Linked DNA regions of Caenorhabditis elegans. The protein of the gene in region 1 interacts with the protein of each later gene in a pairwise test. Each region holds a gene or a part of one and is shown on either strand. Other genes may lie near its edges. The genes, in order: aat-6 and nrfl-1.

Evidence for each region.
Region 2: the proteins of aat-6 (region 1) and nrfl-1 interact in a two-hybrid assay, tested with the Caenorhabditis elegans proteins (one study listed by BioGRID).

The regions. Positions count from the first base shown.
Region 1 is NC_003283.11:11,466,156-11,472,692, reverse strand, and holds aat-6 (Amino acid transporter protein 6), read left to right. Parts: upstream 1-2,029; 5' UTR 2,030-2,094; coding exon 2,095-2,110; intron 2,111-2,263; exon of another isoform or gene 2,264-2,403; intron 2,404-3,514; coding exon 3,515-3,651; intron 3,652-3,841; coding exon 3,842-3,972; intron 3,973-4,027; coding exon 4,028-4,127; intron 4,128-4,170; coding exon 4,171-4,745; intron 4,746-5,016; coding exon 5,017-5,113; intron 5,114-5,156; coding exon 5,157-5,505; intron 5,506-5,556; coding exon 5,557-5,723; 3' UTR 5,724-5,851; downstream 5,852-6,537. Other genes in the region: Zinc metalloproteinase-like protein nas-21, read right to left, coding at 1-120; Zinc metalloproteinase nas-20, read left to right, coding at 398-465, 515-597, 640-1,000, 1,053-1,395, 1,443-1,727; zipt-16 (Zrt (ZRT), Irt- (IRT-) like Protein Transporter), read right to left, coding at 5,960-6,106, 6,180-6,537. UniProt on the Caenorhabditis elegans protein: Amino acid transporter that mediates the uptake of the L-enantiomers of various amino acids, including L-glutamate. May play a role in promoting fertility.
Region 2 is NC_003282.8:9,119,154-9,124,454, forward strand, and holds the start of nrfl-1 (Na(+)/H(+) exchange regulatory cofactor-like protein nrfl-1), read left to right. Parts: upstream 1-2,218; 5' UTR 2,219-2,327; coding exon 2,328-3,107; intron 3,108-4,124; exon of another isoform or gene 4,125-4,525; intron 4,526-4,651; exon of another isoform or gene 4,652-4,723; intron 4,724-5,301. UniProt on the Caenorhabditis elegans protein: Scaffold protein that connects plasma membrane proteins with members of the ezrin/moesin/radixin family and thereby helps to link them to the actin cytoskeleton and to regulate their surface expression.

The DNA.
Region 1 (6,537 bases):
CAATCTTTTTGTTTCAGGACTACCACCGACTCTCATTACAATCTTATTTCCATTCGAAAATCGAAAATAAAAATTCAATACAGCAATATGCATAAAGAAGAAAGTAATAAAATAGTTCATTGCAAATGCGACGAATAAAAAAATCCAATGAAGTATTTTATAGTCGATGCAAGACAATATACTCCTTTATAAAGTGCATATGAATTAATACAGTATCCAAACGAGTCCCTAAAAGAATTTCTGAATTCTTTTGTTGCGCTTTTTTTTGAATTTCCATGCACAATAGACTTTTCTTAACCCGATTTGCACTTGTTTAAAACACTTAACAATGAAATAAATTATACCGAAACTGTATAAATAAGTAGTAGATTTATGTTTTCCAGAAAATTTCGAAAAAATGAAGATAACAGTTAATTTTTTGCTCGTAGCTCTGATTGGAGTCCCTTCGGTGCTTTCTGATCGTCAGTGAGTTATTAGTATTACGTCTTTCTGTGATGTTTAAGACAATTTTCAGTATAACCCGAGATAAACGGCAAGCAATGCGAGATTATGCAAAGTGGGAAAATAATAAAATGTCTTTATTTTTCTACAATTTACGTAAGAAATAGTTTCAAAAATTGATTCGGATTATTATTTTAGCACTTGAAATGCAAGCCATGTTCCGAGATGCGATAAATTACTTGGAAAATCACACTTGTCTTAAATTTGAGTATAACGAGAATGCAGAAACTGCAGTTAGAATTAGAAAAGGAAATGGATGTTATTCATTGTATGGAATGCACGCAGGAGAAGTTCAAGATCTTACATTAGATTACAATTGTGCATCTTTTGGAACAGCTGTTCACGAAATCATGCATGCACTTGGAATTGCCCATGGTCAAGCTAGAAGTGATAGGGACGATTATCTTATAGTTGATTCAACTAATTCAAATGATGGTATTGAGAACACTGAAAATCTTGTTCCGTTTGATTATGGAAGCGTCATGCTTTATGCACGAGAGTGAGTAAAATTTTACTTTTCAGACTTCTTTATTACAACTAGGCTGTTTCAGTCCTCACAGTGATAAACGAATTCCGATAGATCCAGAATATAACTTCACAATGGGAAGCCTTCGAGTTGCGTTTTATGATATGGTTTTATTGAACAAATTCTATGGCTGCAACTGTGATAATCATCCAAGAAAATTGGATTGTAAAAATGGCGGCTATCAGAATCCGGCCAACTGTGAAGAATGTCTTTGTACTGACGGATTCAATGGTCAATTATGCGATCAGCATGAAGGAGTTTACGTTTTGGAAGCTAAAAAAGAATGGGATGCATCAGGAGTGCGTAATAATTACAGAAAAGGAATTGAAACAAATACTATGCCGGAGTATACTTATTTTGCATTGACTGTAAGAACTATCAGAGAACTAACCAGAGAATTAAAAAAAATTTTCAGGCTCCAGAAGGATCCACAATTGAGGTTCGTATCACCAAACTATCCGGATTTTTCTGTCAACATACATGCGATTATAATGGTGTTGAATTGAAATACAAAACTGATCGACGAATTGTGAGCCCATTAGTATGCTGTGATAATGATAATTTATGGAATAAGACACGATCATCAACCAATAATCCATTCATTATTGCAAAATATGGAAATAACCGAACACCTCACTTTGAATTCGAATATCGTTATATTCCTGGGAATGCTACTGCTGCGCCAGAAGAGAACAATTAACATCTCAATCCACTCCGTTGAAAATAAAAACTATGCTGATTTCTCCTCAGTAATTTTTAAAAATTTTAAAGTTAAAAAGAGTTTTTGAAACACTAAAAATTGCACATATCAATAATCTATCATAAATTGCAATTCGTCAAAAAATACCGTTCTAATTTAAAAAAAATTATAGATATTTTTCAAGTTGCATAGAAAACAGTTCAAACATTGCAATATGAAATAAATATGTAACAATTCAAAATGTTTGGATAATCTCTTTTATGTCATACACTGTGGGTTCAATATTTGTTGATCTCTCGCCTGTTTATGATGTTTTCATTCCGATGAACACATTTTCTTTATTTGTTTCCGTTCTAATTGTCGAGTCATGCTGAATGTTTTTGGTGAGTTGTATTTGAATATAAGATTATCAACTTCTCCTTTTTCTACCTTCCTTTTTCATTTTCTTCCCCCGCACATTTCGGTCTTTTCTGATCGACAGGCAACCGTTGGTTAGGAACAGATAACAGCACGCATCGGGTGCTTAGCTTCGACTTACACATGTACTTTATCATCAAAAAATTGAAAATTCGTGACGCGCCGGCTCCTTATTCTTATCAAATGCGGCGTGGTTTCGATTTCAGTGTTTTAGCACCTTCTTATTGCATTTCACACATGAATTTATTGCATTCTTGAACAATTTTAATGTGACGATTAAATAGGTTTAAAGAGAGACTAGTTTGATATCAAGAATTGTATCATTTTTGAACTAGATCATTTTCAACTTCCAGTCGGCTATGATCTATGTTTTTACTTTTTTTGGGTTTCGAGCCTTAACATTTGAGAGTTTACGATAACATTTTTAATTATCTAAACATTGGTTCAAAATTGTTTTTGAAACTAATTTAAGCAATTATTTAGCATAATTTTACATTTACTCACAACATGAGTACAAAACGTTTCCAATTTCCAGCGGTGAAAATTTGAAATTTTTCCTAGCAACAAACTTCAAAATGTTATTGTTCACACGTTTGTCACGCACATGTTAACTTTTTGTTTTAGATTTCCTCAAGTTTAAACATCTTCTCGATTTTTATTGCTTTCAAACCGATAGAAAGCATGTACAAATTTCAACAGAAAAGGCCGTTTAACTTCTCGAATAATTTAAATTTTGAACAGTCAACCAACAATAATATATACAGAGTGAAATTTAAATTAAATTCTCATTCATGCGCTGCAAGAGGTCTAAACTTAAAAACACATTTTTTTTTTCAAAAATGAAATATATATATCTCGAAAGTATTACTTTAATACACCTAGCAACACTAGTTTTAAAAAGAAAACTGCCGAAAAATTATATTATGACTATGAAAAATGCATTCGATTGTTGTGAACGTTTGTTTCTTCAAATCGATAAATGTGAATAGTGAAAAATCGCAAAATATGAGATATGATCATTGAAAATTCAGTTCAAAATTGCTGTAACTGCTTGATTTTGATTACTTTAACAGTCATGATAAAATTAATTCCATCTACCGAGGGCATGTGATAGATTCTTAATTTGACGTACGAATTCAATACACGTAAATAATTAATAGTCATTCTTTTTTCCATGTAATCTCATTTTCAATTTTTTTTTAAATGTCGTCGAGTAGCAAAAGCGAAATCGAAGATGATGCTACGAGTAGTTCAAGTCATTTTTCAAAAGCTCGTAAAGTTTTGGTAGCACTGTCAGGTCGTTTATTTACTATGTATTTTTTGACATAACCTTTTAGATTTCTTCAATACATGATTGATTTCATTTTCAGGAGTCTCCGCAAGTATGCCCGATGACTCTCGTTCCCAGAAAATGGGCCTTTTAGGTGCCATATCATATATTGTGGGTAATATTGTTGGTTCCGGAATTTTCATCACTCCTACATCGATTATCGAGAATGTAAACTCGGTGAGTATTTTTTATGTGCAAAAAAGAACGAGCGTGGACAGTTAAAAATTAATAGATGATATTAGTGGAAAAAAGTGTACATTGAATGGTGTTTCTGATTCCGAATTTTCATTATGTGTACCTATTTTAATAAACCTAATTGCTCTCCATGATCAAGAAATGTGTTAATTTTTTGATGTTTGGAATTAAGGTCGGCTTATCACTTGCTATCTGGATATTGGCGGCTTTTATCTCAATGCTTGGCTCGTTTTGTTACGTCGAACTTGGCACGTCTATACGTCTTTCCGGTGGAGATTTTGCATACCTTTGTTTCATGAAATGGCATGTGACTTTCACACTCTTCAGCAACATTTTAACGTGTTCTTTGACGTTTTAGGTATCCTGTGGCGTTTGCTTTTATGTGCATTGGTTGTACTATCAACTATCCAGCGACACTTGCAGTTCAGGCACAGACATTCGCCGAATATGTATTCCGGGTGAGCAAAGTTGAAAGTGCACATTTTTAAGATTCAAATTCAGGGAGCCGGAGTGGAGCTAGATGAAACGTCCGAATTCTGGGCTAAGAAGCTTTTGGGATTCTCACTAATCATTCTTCTCATGTTTATGAACTTCTTCTCATTGAAAACCTTTGTTCAAAGATTTTCAATTCTTGCCTCACTTGCGAAAATTGCAGCGACACTTCTAATCATTATCACTGGATTTTACTATTTAATATTCAAACACTGGAAACAAAATCTTGAAGAGCCTTTTAAAGGTTCAAATTGGAATCCAGGTCCATTTGTGAATGCTTTGTTCGCTGGTCTCTTCTCTTACGATGGATGGGATATTTTGAATTTTGGAGCTGAGGAGATTGAGAATCCAAAAAGAACAATGCCACTTTCAATTATCATTGGAATGACATGCATCGGAGTGATTTATGTAGCAGTTAATGTTGCATACAGTATTGTTCTTTCTCCCACTGAAATGATTGCCTCAAATGCTGTTGCAATTGATTTCGCAAATAAAACTCTTGGAGCAGCTGCTTTCGTTGTTCCAGTCATGGTTGCTATTCTACTAATTGGATCACTCAATAGTACTATGTTTTCTGCAAGCAGGTGAGTTCGATTACTTGACCAAAAAAGAGAAGACAGAAAAAATTATGTATATTTAGATTTACTGTGAGTCTATCAAATTAAAATCTAGTGAACATTTTTTAGAATAATAATATTTTTTCGAAGAGAATGGGCTTTAAAAGTTTTGGAAGACCATGTGGACCACGTCGGTTGTCCAAGACACAGATTTCTCTTTTAAATAATTTGATTTATAGGCTACACCAAAACACAAACGATTCGATTCCCAAAAATCAAATAAAATAGTTTTTTAAAGATATCTGCAAGCTGTCTCCCGTCAAGGACATATCCCGAGTGCAATTTCTGGTATTGCACCAAATTGTGATTCTCCAAGAGTAGCTCTCCTTGTTCATGTAAGTTATTTTTGAAGGGTATTTGAACAATTTCAATTTTCAGATCCTTATCGCAATTGCTGTCTCATTTTTGGGTGATCCTGACAAATTGATTAACTATGTAGCATTTGCTCAATGGTCACAAAGAGCATTTACAATGTCGGCTCTTCTTTATCTTCGTATCAGAGGACGGCCTCGTCATCCAGATCGTATTCAACTTCCAATCATTATGCCAATTTTATTCTTCCTCGTGTGCACTTCAATGGTTGTGATTAGTATTATTGACGATTTCAAATCTTCTGCAGTTGGACTTGGAATCCTTCTTGGCGGTCTCATTATTTTTATAATTTTTGTCTGGGATAGAGCTCTGCCTTCAAGTCATACTTTCAGAAATGCAACCCATGTCATCAATGGTATTGTTTTTAGCATTGTTTTTGAAAATGTATCATTATTTTTCTTTACAGAAGAAAGTACAAAGTTTATGCAAATTATTTTCAACGTGGTACCAGAACGAGTCGGCGACGAAGAGATGAAAAATGCCATTGGAGGAGCTGAATCGGAGAGTGAAAAAGTGCCAGCATACAAGATCTCACCAACTGGAAACGGGCAATTCAAGTGTACACGCATGTAAATATATGAGTATTTGTTGAGTCCGTTTTACTTCATTTTATAGGTGCTGTTGTTTTTTTAGAAAATGATTGTAACATATTTATTGAACAATTGTTTATTTGGTGATAGGAATACTACAATTTCTAATAACCCGTATCATATATAACAAAGCAGGGATGGGAGAGAGAGAGAGAGAGAGAGAGAGAGAGAGAGAGAGAGAGAGAGAGAGAGAGAGAGAGAGAGAAAAGCAGATACTGCTCAAAAGTCCACAGAGTTCACCCGACTCATAAAGTACATGAAAGTTGTTCCAAACAAAATACCACAAGCCTGGAGAATAGACACCAGAATACTCTCGGCCAAATTTTCTTTGATGAGCTCATTCGTCGATTCTCGAATTTCAGGAATCTGAAAGTGAACATTAGTTTTGAGCAAATTATAAAAATTAATCACAATAGGCCATAACATTTAGAAAACTAACCAAGGTTCCCAAGAAGATATACATATACATTCCGGAAGATATTGCAAAAATGTACTCGTCATACGAATCGTCCACACTGTCCAACATCACACCAATCGAAAATCCCAAGAAACTGAGTACAATTGGAACCATATTGAACAAAAGTGTCTTTTTGAGTCCTAATCCAGACTTTACAAGAATTGCCAAAGTTCCAAGTTCTTGAGGAAACTGTTGGGAGATTACAGCAATTCCAATACTCAGACCCCTGAGCAAATTGTCTGAAAATGCGGCTCCCATGCTCATACCATCCACAAAGTTGTTAGCTGATGATCCAAAAATAATCATATAGGCGACTGAAGCTACTTCCATTGCTGCTGGT
Region 2 (5,301 bases), on another chromosome or scaffold:
TTGAATGGAGAGAATGTAAGTGATTCAAATGTTTGAAACAGAATTGTATATGTTCTCTCTTCTATAAGTAAACGTTTTGGAATATTGTTATTTTACTATTAATACCCTCACAAATTGGAAAAAAAGTATGCAGTTCAGCCTGAGTTGTAACGCATGGAACTTTTTGAATCTGATAATTTTTCAGGCAACACGTGATGTAAATTGGAGTTTAAATAGTGTGTTATCTATAGTTTAAATTCCCATATATGTATGTTCAAAAACATTTAATTTCAGGAATATGGCTACAACTTGCACGCCGAGAAGGGACGTGGACAGTTCGTTGGTACCGTCGATCCGGATAGTCCTGCTGAGAGGTAAACATTTTTATTTTTGATATTGATGGACAATATTCATTGACAAATACATATATCAATTAAAAACCAATAATAAATTATTGAGTTTCAAAAATCTCTCAATACTAAAATGCTATGAAGGCTTTCACAGTTAGTCCATTTTCTCTGGTCAGCTCTGAAAATTGTAGAATATTTTAAAGTATTGGCATTGTCGGAGAAGAAACTGCAATTTTTGTTTCTATTTTACCAATTGTTTAAATATTTTCAGAGGAGGATTAATCACTGGTGACCGAATCTTTGCTGTCAATGGTCACTCGATTATTGGAGAAAATCACAAGAAGGTGGTTGAGCGCATAAAAGCAAATCCAAATCGATGTGAAATGCTTGTGATCTCTGAAGAAGGAGCTAAGTGGTACAATGAAAATAATGTTCAAATCACATTGGACCTTCCAAATATCGAACGAGTTTCTCCAATGGTTAGTCAAAATGTAGATTTTATCTTTACAAAATTAAAAAAAACAATTTTGTGTGACTTTTCTCATTCTCCTAACTTTATTTTAAATTCTAAAATTTTTAACATGTAAGATAAAAAAGTCTTCATTGTCGTGAAGAATGCAATATTCGTTTTTGACAGTAAAATTAGAAACATTTTCCATTTGTCTTATTTCCCTTTGTTGCGCCTAAAATCCCTTATGTTACCAATTGTCAGAGGAACTCCTGTCATCCGTCCAACAATTCTCCCCCGCCAAGTTCGTGGTACGCACCCACGTCATATTCACAGGTCAGTCTTTTTGCCTTTTCACATAATTTTCTCCTTTCTCCACTTTGTTTATTCCTCATTGTTATTTTGTAATTTTCAAACAGTATCGAATATCAAATAGTATAGCTGTAGTTGCTCATTGAGCATCATTTGTTTATTTGACACCTCTAGTTGCACTTGATCAACCGAACTTCGTATATCTACTGAGTCACACTGAACCATTTTTATGCGTCATTTTCATATGTTCTCACACTAAAAAAGGATTGACAAATATTTCGAGGTAGATAGACAGGGAGTCGATAGACAAGAAATGACGTCATTTTAGATGAAAGTTATAGGAACAATGAAAATTAAAAATTGGTAATTGAACCTGGGGAAATTGGAATTAACATTATTAATGGCTATGCAATTTTAGAACTGAAATTTTTAAAAAGTTATACAATATCCGATCTCAAATGAAGAAATGGAAATAAAAATTCTTGCAAAAAAATTGAATAATTTTTTTCTGTTTCATAAATAGTTAAAAGACTTATTCATAAATTTCAAAAATTCGGGAATTGCCTTTTCCGCACAAAAAATGTTTCCTCATTAAGGAAAACCCGTGGTTGGTTTGGAGACTATCTTGAAATTGTAATGCACATATTCTGTCATTCGATGATGCTTTATATAGTTTAGGCGATTGAAATCTGATTAAAACTTTTCTTTAGAACTCCATAAAAATATTTGATTTATTGCAAAAGTTTTGTAAACTTTTCTAAGTTCCTTGTAATATCTAAGTATTGCTAAGACATCATTTCTAGTCATCCACTTGTACTTTCTCTCCTCCAATTTTTGATTTACAATCTGATTCTCCATGCACTCCAAGACGTTCTCAACCATTATTCTTCAAACGGAACAACTTTTCGATGATTCTCGAATCGATGAAGAAACGGACGACACAATAGCGTTGGTTTTGTGTGTGTGTGCCTGTTTTGTATGTTAATATTCAATAAAAATATGAAGAAGATGGAAAAAGACGGGGCAAAGAATTTATGGGCCAAACCATACATATTCTATGCATTGAGGCACGAAGAGGGACAAAAAAGTTATATATCTTGACAAACAAAGGAATACCAAAAAGGCACTTTTGTTTGATTCACATTCCTTGGCTCTTCGGCACATCACTACAGTATTCTCAACTCTTATTCTCAGCTAAGAAATTTCAATTCTAAATCTGCATATTGCCTTCTTCAAACATGGATCGCAATCCATCTGAACCAGAAAGAATAGATTGGAAAAACCCAATCACGTGGATTTCGTATCTCTACACCTCTTTCGTGTACTATTTGTGGTTGATCTCCTCGCATCTACCACATCTCCCACAACCACAACGGATTACCGATGACAAATCAACGGAGCAGATCACCAGAGACGCAGGTATTCCGCGCACTGAGATAGTAACACGAGGAGATGCTACGCAGACAGTTAGACAAGTAGCGGGTCTAGGGGACCCAGCGCCAAAGGATTCATCATTATTGCCTCCCTCTTCGTCGTTCGTCTATTGCAACAACTGTCTAACACCTCATTCGTCTCAGAGGACTTGTTCTCCAGCCTACGTCTCTACTCTCTCAAGACAAAAGTCTTTGACGTTGCTAAAGAAATTGAAGAAACCCTCATCATCTGCTTCTTCCACCACTACCACCACATCATCGACTGTATCTTTCCGTGCACCTTCACGTGCATCATCAACGATCTCCGACGCTTCTACCATCCGCCCATCTGAACTCATTGCTATCGTTCCATCTGGTAGCCACGTGTTGCTGCGAGTTCCGAAACTTGATTGGAAAACTGAATCAATTCGAATCAAAAGAACTAGAATGAGTGATTGGATGGATGCGGAGCAACGGGATGTGATGAGACAATTTGATGAAGTTATAAGATCAGAAGAAGAAGACGAGAGGACCTCACGAAAAAGGAACGGAATCTTCAAAGATGGATCTGTAAGGAGTATTGAATCATTGGAATCTAGGAGTCGGGTGAGCACACGTTGTGATTTTGAAATATCGACTCAAAAATAAAACTTCTTTCTAACAATTATAAATTTAAAAGTTAGAGAATTATCTATTAGTATTGCACCCCCTTACTGTAGGCAGCTCATAACTGATTTTTCATTGATTTTATTATAATTTGACAACTTTCTACTTATAATCTATTTTACTATAATTTTTTAGTTAATAATTTTGTTGATGTCAGCAACTGTCTTTAAAATGAACCGATAGCTCCAAAGAAACGATGGAAAATTATATTTTACGGACCAAAGTTGATCCAAATTTTTTGCTGACAATTGTTCCTGTTTATTCAAAATTTAAAAATTTAAATTACACATTTTTTGGTTTGGGCTATAATTCATCATAAAACCATACTTCTTTAAAACGTGAAATCTCAACTTGTTTTACAGCATTTCAGATAAAATGCACACCGTAGAATTAATTGAAATGGTATTTCAACTGGTTTCTTTTCTTTGTTTTTCATCTTTCCCATACTGGTACGCGTGCCTATCCTTACCCAAATTCTTCAAAAACAATTTGATAAGGATTTCAGTATTTTTTCTTTAAATTGATTAGAGACCAACTTCGCCAAACTATCAATTGGGTACTATGTTTTATAAACTATTCCAACATTTGTTGAGGTATTCGTCATCCTCTTCAACTTTTTTCTTCAATATTTCCATTTTCTCCAAAAAGAATTTCATTTTCATATAAATACGAGTATCATTTCCTCTTCTTCATATTTCTGACTCATCTTTCCTCCATCTTCTCTTGCATACATTTCCAAAAATTTTGCCAACTTGCCAAGTAAACCGCAAACATACGAGAAAACTGTTAAAACTGTGTCTGCACTCTACGCACTCTCTCATTCAGCCTCTTGAAGCTTATGTATGTTTTGTTAAATGTGTGTTGTGGCATTGGCAAGAAAGGAGAGAGAAGGTAGATCATTTTTTATTGAGAAGAAAATGACAATGAAGAAGACAAGTAATAAAAAAATATGTTTAGTGCGAGAGAAACAGAACAAAATGATGATTTATGATCAAAATTGAGACATTAGAAAGTTGGAAGAGGAACTGTAAATTAAATGAGAAAATGGGATACAGAGATATGATAGCAGATAGATTTATGAGGTATTGATACGGAAAATAACATAAATATTGGAAGACTGGCGGACTGGAAATTTGCACAGTTCAATGTTAGGAAGATTGAAATGAGTGTAGAAAAACAACTCAAAGAGGAGTGTAAATTAATCAATAAATAGGTTATTATTTTTGACAATTAACACTTCAATAAATTGTGACATAATTAAAAATATGATGAAACAGAAATAGTTTTGGAAGACTAACGAGTTACCAGCATTCCAGTGTTTAACAGTATATTACAACTCGATGAAACATTCGAAAATTCTAAAATGGAAAATCGATTAAAATTTTTTACTCCTTTAAGAAATCTTGTTCGTAAGCCATATTCTCAGAGAGAACCAAATTCAAAAAAGTTGTCTGACTACAGTAATCCGCAACAATTCCACTTACCTATCATTCGTTACAAATCTTCCTCTTCGTTTCTTTGTCCTTTAATAAATGACCTTCATTTGAATATATCTAATTGGTCCTCCATTAGACACCTTCTTCCAATTGTTTTTTATCCTCCACCTGCCATGTCTTTATTTCAATCTGTCTGTGTCTCGTGCTCTCTCTCTCATTCAATAGAAAGATAGTTAACGAAGCATGACGCATTGGAATATCTTGCTTCACTAAAAGATTGCAACATTCCAATTCTATTAATTTTTACAAAAAACCAACAATCTTCTCCCATTCTTGTCATTTGTCATGTTTAGACACTTTCTCAAGTATTTTACTAATTTTCTTCAAAAAGTACACATTCATCAAACGTTGTATGTTCAATATTCTTTTCCTTCAAACAAACTTTGAATCTCATAAAATGTTTTGTGGTTTCGGAACATGTTAGAAATACAAATAACTTGTCGGAAAACTTTCACAAAACTTGAATTTTATTTCTTGGCATTTCCCAACATTGAAACGCATCTTGTAATCCGATATTTTTGGGACTTGTTTTTTATATTCACTTTTATTCGAAAGAATATCAGAAATAATATACATTAGACTATTTCAAGTGGCGTAGGATATAGGGTTCCTTTTTCCGTCGAAATATTGAAATAGTT